Pelodiscus sinensis: one gene and its partner. The protein of the gene in region 1 interacts with the protein of each later gene in a pairwise test. Links are inferred from orthologs where the notes say so. Each region holds a gene or a part of one and is shown on either strand. Other genes may lie near its edges. The genes, in order: CREB5 and FOSL1.

Region 1 (7,419 bases):
GTGATGTCTGTGGTCTGGTATAGTGAAGTCAATGGAAGGACTTCTGTTGATATTAGTGGATACAAGACTGGAAAGATAGAACAATAATATCCTGAGCCAAATTTGCATCAAATGTCTGCTTCTATTTCCCTAACAAGCATCTACTTTATATGATAAAAAAAGAACATATGAACTCTTAATGTACAGTGAATTAATGACCACAACATACCAGGTGCATTCAACTAGTGCCAAGTAAGTTAATTGATATGACAATGTAAATTAAATGTTCCTTTGTGTGACATATAGGTGACAGCATGCAAAATATCTGAGCAAAGATGATATCTATCATTGTAAGCACTGTGTTAAAGAGAAAATGTCAGATAGTATAAACCCAAAATGGGGGACACTTTCTACTCTGCGTCCACACTACCACTGAGTTCTGTCGACATAACGTCGACAGAACTCAGCAGTTTTGTCGACGCTGGTAAACCTCATTTTACGAGGCATAATGCCTTCTGTCGACAGAGTTTCTGTCGACAGAAGGTGTTATTGCATGTAAACTGTCCTTTGCGACCACACTACCATGTCGACAAAGGAGCTTGCTTTGTCGACAGAACTCAATGTAGTCTAGACGCTCTTTGTCGACAGAAGTTTTGTCGACAGTATCTGTCGACAAAACTTCTGTCGACAGAAGCCTGTAGTCTAGACGTACCCTTGGAGAAAGAAGCTCCTATTCCACTACTCAAATACCAGTGAATTTGACATCAGTCAGTTACATGGAAGCCCATCTTCCAGAATTTCAGGATATCAGTTATATGACATAGCATTTCTTGATTGACAAAGGACAGTGCAGCTTTTTCTCCTTCTATTGATCCTAATATATGAGCTTAATTGTACAGCATTCCTGTGCTGTTAAATAACTGACTTGTTTCTCCCCAGAAATAGCTGCAGTTGTGAGTGAACTGATTCTTCTGTTTATAGTTTGAAATATGAATTGGGAACACTTGAAATGAAAGGTGTTTTATAAACATAGGCTTATTTATAAGAGTCCAAGAATAATACCTGACAAAATGAAAACAAATTATACTGCAAACAGTTTATTCGTCCATATCCTAAGAAGCTAAACTAACTCAAAGTCTATCATCAGGACCTCTATGAGCTTTAAACCCTATATAAAATATGGGTAAAAGTCAAGCACAGTAATTATTTAACAGTGGTATAGAAATGCAGAGCTTTTATGTTGCATCACCGTAGGCTTAGGAGCTAAAAGCCTGCATCAAGATTCTGAGTAATTATTACTGAGTCAACCTTAAAAAACAACAAATTGTCCTGCAGCAACCTAGAGACTAACAAAAATGTAGGTGGTATCATGAGCTTTTGTGGGCACAACCCACTTCTTCAGATGAATGGAGCAAGGGTCCAGAGGTACAAATAAATAGCAGAAAAAGAGGGGATGTGGAGAGAAGGAGAAGGGGAAAAAATGGTTCATTAGAGTGTTCATGGTAAATGAGGCTAATAGAGTGGGCTGTAAGTGCCTGATACTTAGCTTTTTTATGTCATTAGGTTGTTGAATGTAGCAGCCCATCCAGTTCAGGTCTTTGTTCAAACCTTGACTAAAGGCATCAAATTTACAAATGAAGGCAAGTTCCACAGTTTCTCTCTCCAGATAGTTTTTTGAAATTGTTTTGTAAGAGGATAGTCACTTTTAGATCCATTAATGAATGGCCAGGCAAGTTAAAATATTCCCCAACAGGTTTCTGTGTGTTACCATTTTGAATATCTGATTTGTGTCCATTAATCCTTTGTCATATAGACTGTCTAGTTTGGACAATATACATGGCAGAAGGGCATTGTGGGCGCTTGATGGCATATATCATATTAGTGGATGTGAAGTTGTATGAGCCTCTGATCCTGTGGCTTATGAGGTTAGGTCTTGTGATGATGTTGCTTGTATAGATGTGTGGACAGAGTTGGCACTGGAGTTTATTGCAGGGGGTGGGTTCCTGGGTGAGTATGATGGAGGTGTGTTGTGTAGTTGCTGGAAAGAATTTGTTTCAGGGTAGGTGAAGATTGGCCTGTCCCCCAAGGCCTGTGAGTGAGAGGTCATTTTCCAGGATAGGGTGTAGATTATTAATGATGCGCTGGAAGGGTATGAGCAGGAGTGGCCCGAGGCTGGCTGTGGCAGCTGGCTCCCTAGGCAGCACGGCGCAATCGGCACCCCTGACTGAACGGCCATCAATGACCATAACTTCATCACGGGGCACCCCGGCGCCCTGTGATGTCATCATCGGGCGCCTGGGCCAGTGGTGCCTAGGCAGCTGCCTAGCACGCCTAGGCTCATGGACCGCCCCTGGGTATAAGTTGGGGCTGTAGGTGATGATCAATGGTGTTCTGTTAGTTTGTTTGTTGGGCCTATTTTGAAGAAGCTGATGCCTGGGTACTCATTTGGCTCTGTTCATCTGTTTTTTCACTTCCCTGGATGGGTATTTAAGTTTTAAGAATGCCTGATAGAGATCATGTAGGTGTTGTGTTAATGGCACGTTCCTCCAGTTAGCTCCAAACAGGATATATTAAGAGCGACAGTGTTTGTTTGGGTAGAGGAAACTAGACCATGGGTTGTTAGGTTGTTCTAGGAACACCCAGATTTGGGAGAAAGTTTAGTCTGGCTTATATTTTATTATTGAGTTAGTAATAAGTCAAGCTCCAGCAAGGGAAAGGGCTGGGCTAGGGCACCTATTCTACAGACTGTGTACCAGTTGGAGTAGGAAGGCAACAGAGTCAATCATATCTCTAGATGACTAGAAGGATACAATGCTAACCACTCTGTATAATACTTAGTATCTGGGATCAATGACCAGAGGTACCAGAGCTATAAATTGTGAAGCCTGAGGTGCTCAGGATGGGGTAAGGATGTTAAATTGTGTTTAATCAGCTAATTGAGTAGTAGATGGAATTTCCACTGACTACTTGATTAGTCGATAAGGGGGGAAACTGCAGAGGCACAGTGGGGTTAGTTCCTGGTCCCGCAAGCTAACCGTGTTGCATCTTTGCCTTTTACATGTATTAAGTGCTGCCAGGCGCTTAATACATTTAAAAGGCAGAGACGTAGTGGGGGGACTAGGCTCAAGTCAGGAATCAGCTGTCCTGGCTCTCATCCAGTCCCCCCTGCTGCGCTTCTGCTCTGCTTTTTAAATGTATTAAGCGCCATTTAAAAAGCAGAGGCGCAGCATCTGGGACCGAGTGCGAGCCAGGACAGCTGATTCCCAGCTCACGCCCAGTCCCCCCCCCCCCACTACGCCTCTGCTTCCCCTGCCCCAGCTGTGGAGATGATGCTCCCCTGTCCCCAGACCGGCTGCTGTTCACCACCTTGCTGCCCTTACATTTCTTGTAGGGGATGTTTATTACTTTACTCAGAGGAGTAGTCTAATGGACTCCTAGAACTAAAACGTGCTATAGTTTGCAACATTGAGGTGAAAATTGTATTTTTACATCTTACATGATGCTGATCATGTTGGTGCTTAATAAATAACTTGTGAATACATAAGGAACTGTCTTCATAGACCAACACCTAAGGAAAGTGAATTTACAGAAAAGTTAATTGATTTGCCTATGGTAACACAGCACATCTATAAGAGAAATCAGGAACAGACCCCCATCTCCAGACTCCTATTCCTTGTCTTCAGCCATTCTTTCCCCCCATGCTTGTGAGGATCTGATTCAAAGCCCTGTGGAGTCAGTGGCAGTTGTTTGTGTGGTAGCATGGTAGCTGTAAGACAGGAAGGCAAGGCACTTTGTTGTGTGTGTTTTACTTTTACCTTGGCAGTGTCCCTTTAACGCTGCATAGATAGGCAAGACTAAAATATCTTCTCTCCCTTGCTACAGCTTCTGATCTCTCCACCCATATCCCTTCTATGAAGCACAGTAATGCAAGTCCTGTTGTAAAACCCCCGTGTAAGAGAAGCAGTCATATGTAGCGATACGATCTAGAGATGAATGAGTTGGCGGTGGGAACTAAAATCCCCCCTAGTATTCCCCTCTCCCCCCAAAAATATCAGATTGAGGGTTTTAGCTCAATCGGGGAGAGATTGCTGCGTTGGGCCACCAGCCGCTACACAGTACACTGGCAGCGCGGGAGTTTAATGGGCGGACTGGAGCGGTTCTTCTCCTGGGGCACACTTCGTGGAGTGGAGCTCAACCCACCCAATTCGGGAAACAGCTCTTGCCCGGCCCCTGCGAATCAATGCAGCCTAGTAGGGAACCCGCCTCTTTGGACTCGTCCCTGCTTCCTCCCCAAATCCATAAAGCGGGAGATTTTTTCCAAGCTGACTCACACGCCTCATGTCAGTCCTGTCACATCCAGCGCTGCAAGCTGTTGCTTGAGCCGTGGCTGCTTTGCACTAGCCACCCGCCCCCTCTGCTCTGGGTGGCTGGCGGGCGGGGGCGGAGTCCGGGGAGACCACGCCCCCGCGGGCACGCCTACCCCTCCGCTCCCCCGGCGCACAGGGACCGCAATGATTTAGAAGTTCAGGAATCCCACGTGACGTCACCGAGGGTGATGTAATGCTTCTCTAAATAGAACGTATTGTAACCTTCCCTCAGTCCAACGTGGTTCCTTCACCCAAGCTGCTGGTCCTTTCCCTTCTACACTTGTTTGGTAAGTTCCTCTAAATCTTGCTCTGACTTTATGAAACTCACTTTTCAGTGCATTTAAAGTCTCGCTTCCTGGACGCGTTAAAGTACTTGTGTGCATAGGACTGAGCGGCTAGGGACTGGGAGCGTGTGTGAATTAACTGGGGAGAAAAGGGGGGAGGATTTAAAGTTAGGGGGGAGACATCTCATTCATTGCAAAGAGGTTTATTGTGTTGGGGGTGGTTTGAACGGGGAGGGGGGAAGGGGGAGTAAACAGTAGCTTTTTGCTACTAAGCCTGGGACTGTTTAGTTTGTTTTCAATGTATGATAGTACTCATTTGAGATTCCCCCCTCCCTTTCCAGGAGGCGCTTTAGTGGCTGCGATGTTTGATCAGTGAGATGCTTCTGTGAAGATGGCTTTTTGAACGTGTGTGTGTATCGCTCATTCCTCTCAGTGACTGGCCGGGTGGTGGGGGTGGCGGTGGGGGCACCGGAAAAGTTGCTGAAGCAGCAAGAAGCGCAGTGAGCAGTCGGAGCGAGCGAGGGCAGCAACTTTGCGATTCCTCTGTTCAGTACACCAAGCAAACAGTTGGAAAGTTTTGAAACTCTCTCGCTGTGTATGTGCGTGTGTTGAAACAAGAGCTAGCGAAGTCATTAGTATGCTGCCGGGACCGTAAGCGTGTGTATGCATGTGTGTCCGAGAACCGCTGAGATGTAACTGCTGCTGCCATCTCCCGCTGTCTGCACGGAGCATGTAGGTACAGACTGTGGCAAATTCAGTATCATTCTTGCTGTAGCTCTTTCGGGAGAGGATTTTTTTAACTAGACACAGAAGTCTGGAAGGCTGATGCTCCCCCCCCCCCCCATCTTTGCCTTATTTCTTTCCGGCATAACATCTTTTCTTGCCGCTGCTGTAATGACAGCTCTTGGGTTCCTAGAACTGCTCTCAGAAGTCTCCCTGTCTTCGTGAAGCTTTCGCTTTCTTCTTATCTGAACTAGATTCCAATCGCTGCAACTTTGATTTAAGTTTTGGAAAAGGCTTCTTAATCCAGAGCACCAGAGGCTCAACTGCCTACCGGTTGCTGGTTCACGTGTATGTATTGTTTCTTAAATGGACTTTTATTGGTGACTGCACAACATACTGATCTTCCCACCTCCCCTTCCTCAGCTCCAGTCCCCACATGATGCCTATTGTTATGGCTCAGGACTGGAGTGGGCTGTGTGTATATTTCGTTGTTAGGTGGCTGCATCGCTATGTTTGGTTCTCTCCCGCCGCTCCCCCCCCCCCCCCCACGCCCTTCTGACATATCTCTGGGAATAAGGCTGGATACTGGGCCATTACGTCATTCTGCAGACTAGTAAGTGTTTGATTAACAGCCTTAGATACTGAAGGGTTCAGGGGGTTAGAAGTGCTGACAAAGCAACTCTCCCTTTTACAGTCCCCACTGGCTAAGCACATCTTTTTTAAGCCCCCCCCCCCAATTCAATCCATATCTCCTTTATTACTCCTGTGATTTAGGCTTCTCTCTCCTTCTCTTTAGATAACTTTTGTCCTTCCAGAATTGTAAAGGGTTCTGGAATGTAATGGGAATACCTGCTAAACCCTGCCCTTTCTGTTATTTATGTCCAGGCATGAGTGAGCCGTCATCTCCCGGCTTTATTATAAATGTTGCAGTCTGAAAGAGAGAAGTGGTTCAAAGTGGATATTAATTCAATAAAATGATGGTCCACATGTGTGTCTTGTACAATTAAAATGTCTAAAGAGTACTTACTTAACACAGTATGACCAGAGGATTTCTGTATTTTATCAATAGGAAACAATATACAGACAGATGGAAACAGATGTTAGACCAAAGGACAATAAGAGTTCTTGGGTTTTCCTTGAGACCATACGTTTCAAAGATAACTCTTCTTCTAGTTGCACCAGAGTTCCTTTGCCTGGCCATTTGGAGAAAATATAGTGTGTCAAATAACAGTGGAGGAAGAATTTTCTTCTGAAACTGTCAAGTAGAAATAATCCAGAAACCAGACTGTAAAGTTTTTTTTTTAATAAATTGTTTCTAGAGTTATAGGGTGAGAACAAAATCAAAGAAAATCTATACTTTGACACAGTTTGTGGGAATTTGTTCTGAAGTAGATACGCTTTGGTAGAATATTAAAAAAAAAACTATAGAAAATGTACAAGTTTGAATGCCCCCTTTGGCATGTCTTTGGATGAAGTCAGCATTACAATGTTAAAAATACTTTTAAAATGTTAAACTTCTCATTTGTTACTCCTTAGTCCTAAAGGGAGCAGTGCAGGTTGCAAAGCATCAGAAAAAAGTGTGGTTAACGATCAGTGATTAGTGATAAGTGATTAGTGGTTTTATTCAAACTGTTACCTCTGACCAGAAGCACACATCAGAGGATTAACAGGCTCTTTAGATAAATGCTCATTAGTGGAAGGAGAAAAACGAAGATAATAGGCATGCACACAGGGACAACTTTCGAGGAAAATCATTCCTGTCTCTGGAATAATAAGCTCTATTAGCAGAAAGCCTCTTTAAATTAAAAGTTGCTTTTATCTTGTAAATCAAAGTTAGATGTAGAAGGTCACTCTGCTATTATAAGCTAAATTTTCCCATATCCACTAGATGTGGATTATCCCAGTTGTGATATTTATTTAAATAAACAATTGAATCTTTAAAGAAACTGAAAATTCTCAAGTGCCAAAGTCCTGTATTTTAAGGTATCCACTTCAAACATAGAAAGGGAAGCCTGCTGTCAGCTAACTAGATGGCGTAGTACTGTTCTCTGTGAACATACAGTTCT
Region 2 (8,231 bases), on another chromosome or scaffold:
TCCAGCTCCCAGGGCTGCTGAGTCAGCACGATCTGGCGTGTCCCTGCGTGTGAGCAGCAGGGGTGTGTGCGGAAATCCCACCCGCAGATAACCCGCCCTTTGTCCTCCCCACCCTTGACCCAGTTTCCCTGGCCTTGTGGGTCCCTTCCCAGCCCTGGTGTGCAGGTGTCACCCGCAGGGTATTGGTGCCACCCAGCCCTGGGGCAGCAGGCTGGCCGCGCCTTCTGTGTCAGAGAGAGAGCACACCTCAGGGGCTGGGCATGGGAGCGGAGCTTCCCAGGCCCCCTGCCAAGGCTAGTGGCTACAGCAGCTGGGGCTGGGCGCCAGGATGCCTGGGTTCTGTTGCTGGTACTGGGAGGGAGGGCAGGGGAGTATAATGGCCTGGGGGTCAGGACGCTGGGTACTGTGGGCAGTTCTGGGAGGGGAGGAGGCAGCTGGGGGTCAGGACGCTGGGTTCTGTGGACAGTTCTGGGAGGGGAGGGGGCAGCTGGGGGTCAGGACGCTGGGTTCTGTGGGCAGTTCTGGGAGGGGAGGAGGCAGCTGGGGGTCAGGACGCTGGGTTCTGTGGACAGTTCTGGGAGGGGAGGAGGCAGCTGGGGGTCAGGACGCTGGGTTCTGTGGGCAGTTCTGGGAGGGGAGGAGGCAGCTGGGGGTCAGGACGCTGGGTTCTGTGGACAGTTCTGGGAGGGGAGGAGGCAGCTGGGGGTCAGGACGCTGGGTTCTGTGGACAGTTCTGGGAGGGGAGGGGGCAGCTGGGGGTCAGGACGCTGGGTTCTGTGGGCAGTTCTGGGAGGGGAGGGGGCAGCTGGGGGTCAGGACGCTGGGTTCTGTGGACAGTTCTGGGAGGGGAGGAGGCAGCTGGGGGTCAGGACGCTGGGTTCTGTGGACAGTTCTGGGAGGGGAGGGGGCAGCTGGGGGTCAGGACGCTGGGTTCTGTGGGCAGTTCTGGGAGGGGAGGGGGCAGCTGGGGGTCAGGACGCTGGGTTCTGTGGGCAGTTCTGGGAGGGGAGGGGGCAGCTGGGGGTCAGGACGCTGGGTTCTAGCCCCTGTGCGGCAGCTGTTGGCACGCGGACGGCAGGCGCCGCAGCTGGCAGTGGGGTGGGGCCGGCAGCTGTCGCAGGGCCGCCCTTATGCAAGAGGAAACGGCGGAATCTCAGCACCCTGGCCACGGGCTGGGGTGAATGGCGGGGCCAGGCGGGGTGAGCGCGACCGTGACTCAGCCCCGCCGGTTCTGATGACTCACCGGGCATGACTTAGCACCCTGGAGCTCCAGCGGGAGCCATCTCCCGGTCTGCCCTGCTGCCGTAGCCTGGAGCCCCCCGCCCCCACTACACGCATCCAGCTGCTGTGGGAAGGAGCTGCCTGGGGTCTGTCTTCAGTGGACTGCCTGGGTCCCCCTCTCCCACGGCTCCGAACAGCCCAGAGAGGGAGGCGAGTCGTAAACCCAGCTGGCCCTGACCTCCTCCTCAGCTGGATTTTCAGCTCCGTGCCCGTCCTGCGGGACACGGACGGAGGAATCCGGAGATGAAGTGGTTGCCCAAGAGCTGGCCCAGAACCCAGCAGTCCGGACTCCCATCACCCCCAGCCGTAGAGCTCAGGCGTCTGCCTTCCCCTTTCCAACTCTAACTCCTAAACCCCGCTCCCCTCCCCGAGCTAAAGTGCTGCGGGTCTGGCCGATCCACCAACCCGCTGAACTTAGATGCCCTGCTGCATGTGCTTCCTCAGCCCCCTCCTGGATGGGGTATACTGTGTGTCATAAACCCTGTAGGATGACATTTGACGGGGAGTCCCCCCGACTGGAACAGGGTCTCTGGGGTGTCTCATTACGGTGGCTGGGCGGTGGGCAGGGACACGGACACCCCAGGCCCCCACAGCGCAAGATCAGCGTAAGGCTCAGTCAGCTGCCGGAGTAGGGAGCCCCCCCCCCCCATCACTCTGCTGTAGAGCGCCGGGCGGGGGAAACCCCTGCATTTTTCTGCTGTCTGCACGCGAGTGCCTGCGTGTGGGGGGGAGGGGGCAAACAAGCAGGCGCCACGCGGTGGGGTGAATCAACCCGGAGCATTAGTCACCGGGGCTCCCCCCAGGAGGGAGAGTGAGGGCTCCCCTCCCCCCGCTCCTCCAAAAGAAACGAGAGCGAAAACGAGAAAGGAAAGGGAAAGCACAGCATGGGCAGGCGGGACAGAGCCTGCGGAGGGGATCGGTGACTGGCTAGCGGGCAGGTGGCGAGCTAGGTGGGTGAGGAAGGAAGGGAAGGACAATCAGAAAGTGGCATGAATAGACAGCTGGGGATGAGGATGGCTAGAGAATAGATTAGACAGGAGAGTGGGTATGACAGACAGTGAAGGAATGGGGGTAAACCAACAGACTGTGGGGGAATGAGGGTACACTCATAGACTGTGGGGAAATGGGGTGGACTCACAGACAGTGGAGGTGTGAGAGTAGACTGATAGTGGAGGAGTGGGTGTACACTGACAGACTGTGGGGGTATGGCGGTAGACTGACAGACAGTGCGGGTATGGGAGTGGACTGACAGTGGGGAAAGAGGAGCTGGAACAATTTGTATCATGGGGGCGCTAGAGCCACTGTGAAACCAGTACCCTCCCAGCGCTTCTGGAGGAGGTGTGCATGGGGACTGGGCACTGCCGGGCAGACATCAGGGGAGGTGTGCATGGGGGCGGACAGACAGACAGGTGCGCATGGGAACGGGCAGATGGGGAGGTGTGAATAAGGACCGACAGACGGACACAGCGGAATAGGTATGGGGATTGGAGACAGATCGACTGCCCCCTAGTTCTTTTCCCTTTGCCCCGCTTCCCCCTTACCTGCTGCGGCTGCCCTGGTCCCGGAGTCCCTGGAACGACGGCCGATCCCATGCTGCGCAGGGCAGGGTGCTGAGGGCGAGGGTTGTACGAGGATCCCGGGCCATCCGTACTGCCCGCTCCATAGTTCCTGAACATGTCTAGATCTGCTCTGGGGCCGTAAGATGCCGGGTCAGTCCGCCAAGCGCTTCTCTAAACTGGCTCCCTCCAAGTTACTTTTTTTATGAATGGGTACTCCAGGACCTGCTCACTTTAGTCTAGGCAGGGGAGGGGCGAGTCCCACCTCACGCCCTTTTCAAGTCATCAGGAAGCAGAGAATCCCCGCTCCAGTAACCCACTCTGGTGTTTCTCAGACTTATTCAATTAAGATGCACCCTTTTTAGGGGAATCAGAGTTGGTGAGCCCCTAAAAGGACAACCAAGTCAATCTTTCCCCCTTACTCTAAATCTACTTGGTACGGTCTGGGGATTGACTCAGTGCTCGATGACGTAGATGTCCATATATAGTATGATTTCCTCTGGCTTGCTCTGCAATAGTAAAGGATTCCCCTCGGTGTTTGTTTCCAAACTCTGTTTGTTCAAGATGCGTATCGGAGATCCCGTCGCAGCACTGCAATAACAACGCCACACAAACAAACACCCACACCTATACACTTTCACATACACCCCGAACCTCAGGCAGGTGCAACACCCAACACCGCTCACATATGTACAACCACCCCACTCTTACTACAGCACACACCCTGCACACCACCACGGCGTGCACCTCTGTACCACACACAGCTGTGCAACAACACGTCCATCCCCTCACAACCACGATGGATGTGGAGCTACATGCATCGCTGTTGCACAACTACAAGCATCGTTGTTGCACACAGAAATACACACATGGGCACCTTCCACACCCCGCGCAACAATAAACAGGCCTAAACACGGACAGACAGACACTCCCATCAGGCCAGGTAGATGGTTTTCACATGTCAAAGATACAAAGACGCAGCGAAAGACACTCTCCCCCCCCCCCTCCCTCCCTTCCCCAGCGTCCAATACATGAATTCGGGGCTGGCTGGATAGGACCCCAGGAGCAATGCGGGCCGGGCCCTGTTTATAGGTGCTCGCTTTCCCCCCCCCCCCCCCCCCCCCCCGCACATGCCTGGCGCTGCCAGGTTTTGGGGCCCAATGAGATGATTGTAAATCCCGTGAATCCCCATTTCCCCCAGCGGTGCAGGAGCTGGAATTCCCCCCCCCCCCCAAGGTTAGAATAGGAACACCCAGCCCAACCCAGGCGTATCCCCCTGCAATCTGGCTGCGACCTCTCCTCCTGCAGTACCGCAGAGCCCCTTGCTCTTTGAACAGAGACTAAGCCTGACTCCCCCACCCACCCCTGCTGAGACTCTACAGTCTCCCCTCCCCGTAAGCGGCTGGAAGATGCCCTAGTGTGGAGAATGGAAGTGGCCAGCTAAGTGGGACTCAGAACTGTATTCTGTCCCCAGCTTTGGAAGGAGGGAGGGGGGCCTATTGTGTTAGAGCAGGGGCGGGGGCCAAGGCCCCTGGACCATCCCACCCTAGCTCTAGTTAAGGAGTGGGGTCAGGTGGGTTAAAGTAGAGGGGGCTGGGGTCCTGCCTCCTGGTTCCACCCCCAGCTGGTGGTTTCCCTCGCTCCGAGTGGGCTGCGGGGGTGTACATTCCTGACGCGCAGCAGACGCCTTTGGTCAGAAGCAGGAACTGAAAGCGCCTACCAGCGAAACTGGCAGGGCTGGGCCCAGTGCAGAGAGTGAGAGCATGTCCGGCTCCCGTCCCGCTGCCCCGCGGAGCCAGAGCGCCAGAGTTACCTCCCGCTACTGCTCGGAGACCCCGTGGAGCGAGGGACCCCGTTGTGCCAGACACAGCACAGACCCAGGGAGACACCGTCCCTGTCCTGAAGCGCTCACTGTCTAAACAGATCCCATGTGGAAGGAGAAAATAAGGCACAGAGAGGAAGAGGCTCCTTTAAGGTCACACAGCAGGTCACTGGGGGAGCAGGGAATGAAACCCAGAGGTCCTGTTGCTCAGAGTCCCCTGCCTTAACCGCTAGAACCCCCTCCAACCACCAGGAAGAGAACCCCAGGGGTCCTGGCCGCTTCCCCCAACCTCCAAACAATCAGTTCTTCTGGGCCGTGGCCACAGGGTGGGGGCCAGTGACTCCCCGACCAATGCACCATGATCCCTAGGGTCTGGCCCTGTGCGGGTTAACAATCCATCTCCCCAAGGACCAGGACAGGATGTGAGACACAGGAATGCAGCTGATCTCATGCTCCCGGTGACTAACCTGGCAGGAATGGGGGGCAGAGAGCAGCCAGCTGGCACCCTGCCACTGGCCTTGGGGACCAAGGAGAGATCGGGAGCTATGGCTGACTCCCATCCTAGCTACTGTCCCCCCTGCTCCCCGGTATTTAAACCCTTAGCACAGAGCAATGCAGTCATCCCATTTCCCTGGAGACTAGCATGGGACAGATGCTGGGAGGCTGCAGGTTGGGACTGAGTGTCACCGGCAGAACCACATGGGGAGGGGGAGCCCAGGATTGGAATAGCAGGGAGCTGCAGACTGGCATTGAGTAGCACTGATGGAGGGTGCAAAGCAGGGGGCTGCAGGCTGGCACTGAGGGGAACAGGCAGAGCTGGGGGGGGGGGGAAGCCCAGAGCAGAGGGCTGCAGGCTGGCACCGAGGGACACTGGCAGATCTGGGGGGGGGGGGAAGCCCAGAGCAGAGGGCTGCAGGCTGGCACCGAGGGGCACTGGCAGATCTGGGGGGGAAAGCCCAGAGCAGAGGGCTGCAGGCTGGCACCGAGGGGCACTGGCAGATCTGGGGGGGAAAGCCCAGAGCAGGGGGCTGCAGGCTGGCACCGAGGGGCACTGGCAGATCTGGGGGGGAAAGCCCAGAGCAGGGGGCTGCAGGCTGGCACCGAGGGGCACTGGCAGAGCTGGGGGGGAAGCCCAGAGCAGGGGGCTGCGGGCTGGCACCGAGGGGCACTGGCAGAGCTGGGTGTGTCCCAGCATTTCAAATTCTCCGGTCATCTTATTCCGCCTTTGAAAGCAGCAGCAGTTTCCGGCGGATTCCTGGAGAGCGATGGAGCTGGGGGCGGGGGGTTTCACACAGGCTCCCTCCAGATCGGCACGTGGCACTCACAAGTGTGTGTGGCTGCGAGGCAGGAGGCAGGGCCCCTCCGTGTCTATGGAAGGAACGGGCCAAATCCCAAACAGGAGACGGCCGAGCGCTTTGTGTGCTCATCCACTTACTCACCCTTCCTCTTCCTCCTGACTTTACTCACTTGGCGACTCGGGGTTTGGATCCCAGCCTAACCGGGCACAGCTCCAGGGCTGGGAGAGCAGAGGCTGCAAGTCGGGATTGAGGGGCAGTGGCAGAGACGGGAGGAGGCGATCCAGGGTGGGGGGAGGAGGCGATCCAGGGCGGGGGGAGGGGGCTTTAAGCTCGGCTCAAGAGCCACCTCTCTGGGACTCAAGGACAGCAGGGAACCAGCGTTACCATCTCCTGAGGACACGCAGAGCATGTTAACCCCTTGCTTGCTAGAGCAGAGGGACTGTGGGTGCTGCAGGGCTGTGGGGCGGAGGCTGCCTGAAGATCACCAAACATGTACACCGCCCCCCCACCAGCTGGTGAGTTGGCAGGGCCACTTTCAGCAGTGGGCTGCGGGGGGATAGTCCTTCCTTATCTCCCCTCCCCCACAGTTTAGGGCCCTCCCTCTGCTCTGAGGCTCAAATACTGTCAGGCTGAGGTGCTACAGCATGAGAGGCCATGAGTCTGCGGGGGAAGGGGTATCTCTGCCCATCCCAATCGTGGGCACAAGGGCTAGGGGTGCCAGTATGCACACCAATGCCGCCCAGAACGCAGAGAAGCCCCAGGCACCCTGACACCCCCATGCTGCTCTAAGCTAGCAGTCCCCATAGCCCTTCCAGCATCCCAGTAAATCATCTGCCTGGGTTGGCCTAAGAGAGAGGCTCATGGTCTGTGCCTTTCACCAAAAGCAGTTTTGCCCCTTCCTGTTGCTCCCACCTCCCTTTGGCCCTGTCCCCTGAAGCCCTGCCCTGCTTCCTACCTGCCGTGCTATGTAGAAGATCCCTATGAGCCAGGACTTCTGGGTTCTATTCCCAGCTCCGAGAGGCCAGACAGTTGCATGGCAGCCCCTTAGCATGAGGGTGGGTCCCTCCTTGGGCTTGAGGCAGATGGTGCCAGGCTGGCATACTGAATTGCTGGCACCATGCCCAGCCAGGAGACCGTCCTGGAGCAGCGGGTGTCTGTGGAGCAGGAGGGAGCATTCAAGTCAGTTGTCTTAGTGCTGAGAGATTCTTGTAGAAAAGTCAGACTGGGGCTATGTCTACACTACAGAGTTTTTCTGGGATACCAGAGTCCCAGAAAAACTCTGCTGTGTCCAGAGAACACCTCTGATCTTCTGAATTTTTTTCAGAAGAGCAGATGCACTTTTTCAGCATTCCTGTAAATCTCGTTTTACAAGGAAGAAGGGATGTTCCAAAAAAGATTTTTTTTCTGACATTTAGCCCAGTGTAGATGGACCAAATGTTGGAAAAGCCTCTTCTGAAAAAAGAAGCGGAAAAAGCTACACAATTTGCACTTCACAATGTGCATAGCTTTTTCTGGAAGAACAGTGTAGTGTAGACATAGCCTGCGTGAGACAGAGTGAAAGAGGGATTGGATACAGGGCCTTTCTCCTCTTGGGGCACTGGATTTGATGTGACCCCAGACCGGCTCAGGGGATTGGGTAAGGGGCTATAGAGCCTCTCACCTCTAGGGGATACCTGACCCCATATAGACCTAAGTCATTCATAACTTCAGGCCATTCACAGCTCTGCTGGTGGACTGAGTTGTGGGCCCCATGCCCTGAGGTGTCTGCATCACACCAACCCAAACAGAGAGGCCAAGGGCTGAAGGGTCCACAGAGAACCACTTCCCCTTCAGAAGGGGGCTACAGCAGGCCATTTGTGGAAGAAGGTCTCCATGCTGCAGCCCCATTTTAGGACAAGTATAATCCAGGGCTACGTCTAGACTGGCATGATTTTCCGGAAATGCTTTTAATGGAAAAGTTTTCCGTTAAAAGCATTTTCGGAAAAGAGCATCTAGATTGGCGCAGAGTTCACGTTATAACAATGCGCTTTTGCAGAAAAGCATCCGTGCCAATCTAGACGCACTTTTGCGCAAAAAAGCCCCGATAGTCATTTTCATGATCGGGGCTTTTTTGCGGAAAACAAATCTGAGCTGTCTACACTGGCCCTTTTGCACAAAAGTTTTGCACAAAAGGGACTTTTGCCCGAATGGGAGCAGCATAGTATTTCCGCAAAAAGCACTGATTTCTTACAGTAGGAAGTCAGTGCTTTTGTGGAAATTCAAGCGGCCAGTGAA

The links.
Region 2: the proteins of CREB5 (region 1) and FOSL1 interact in binary tests that used the Homo sapiens proteins (3 or more experiments, as listed by UniProt). The two-hybrid records come from large-scale screens. The link is inferred for Pelodiscus sinensis from reciprocal best matches to the Homo sapiens genes CREB5 and FOSL1.

Annotation. Positions count from the first base shown.
Region 1 is NC_134712.1:195,670,399-195,677,817, reverse strand, and holds the start of CREB5 (cyclic AMP-responsive element-binding protein 5), read left to right. Parts: upstream 1-4,340; 5' UTR 4,341-4,633; intron 4,634-4,971; exon of another isoform or gene 4,972-5,039; intron 5,040-5,087; exon of another isoform or gene 5,088-5,362; intron 5,363-7,419. UniProt on the Homo sapiens protein: Binds to the cAMP response element and activates transcription.
Region 2 is NC_134721.1:32,505,264-32,513,494, reverse strand, and holds the start of FOSL1 (fos-related antigen 1), read right to left. Parts: upstream 3,157-8,231; 5' UTR 2,958-3,156; coding exon of another isoform or gene 2,945-2,957; coding exon 2,823-2,944; intron 1-2,822.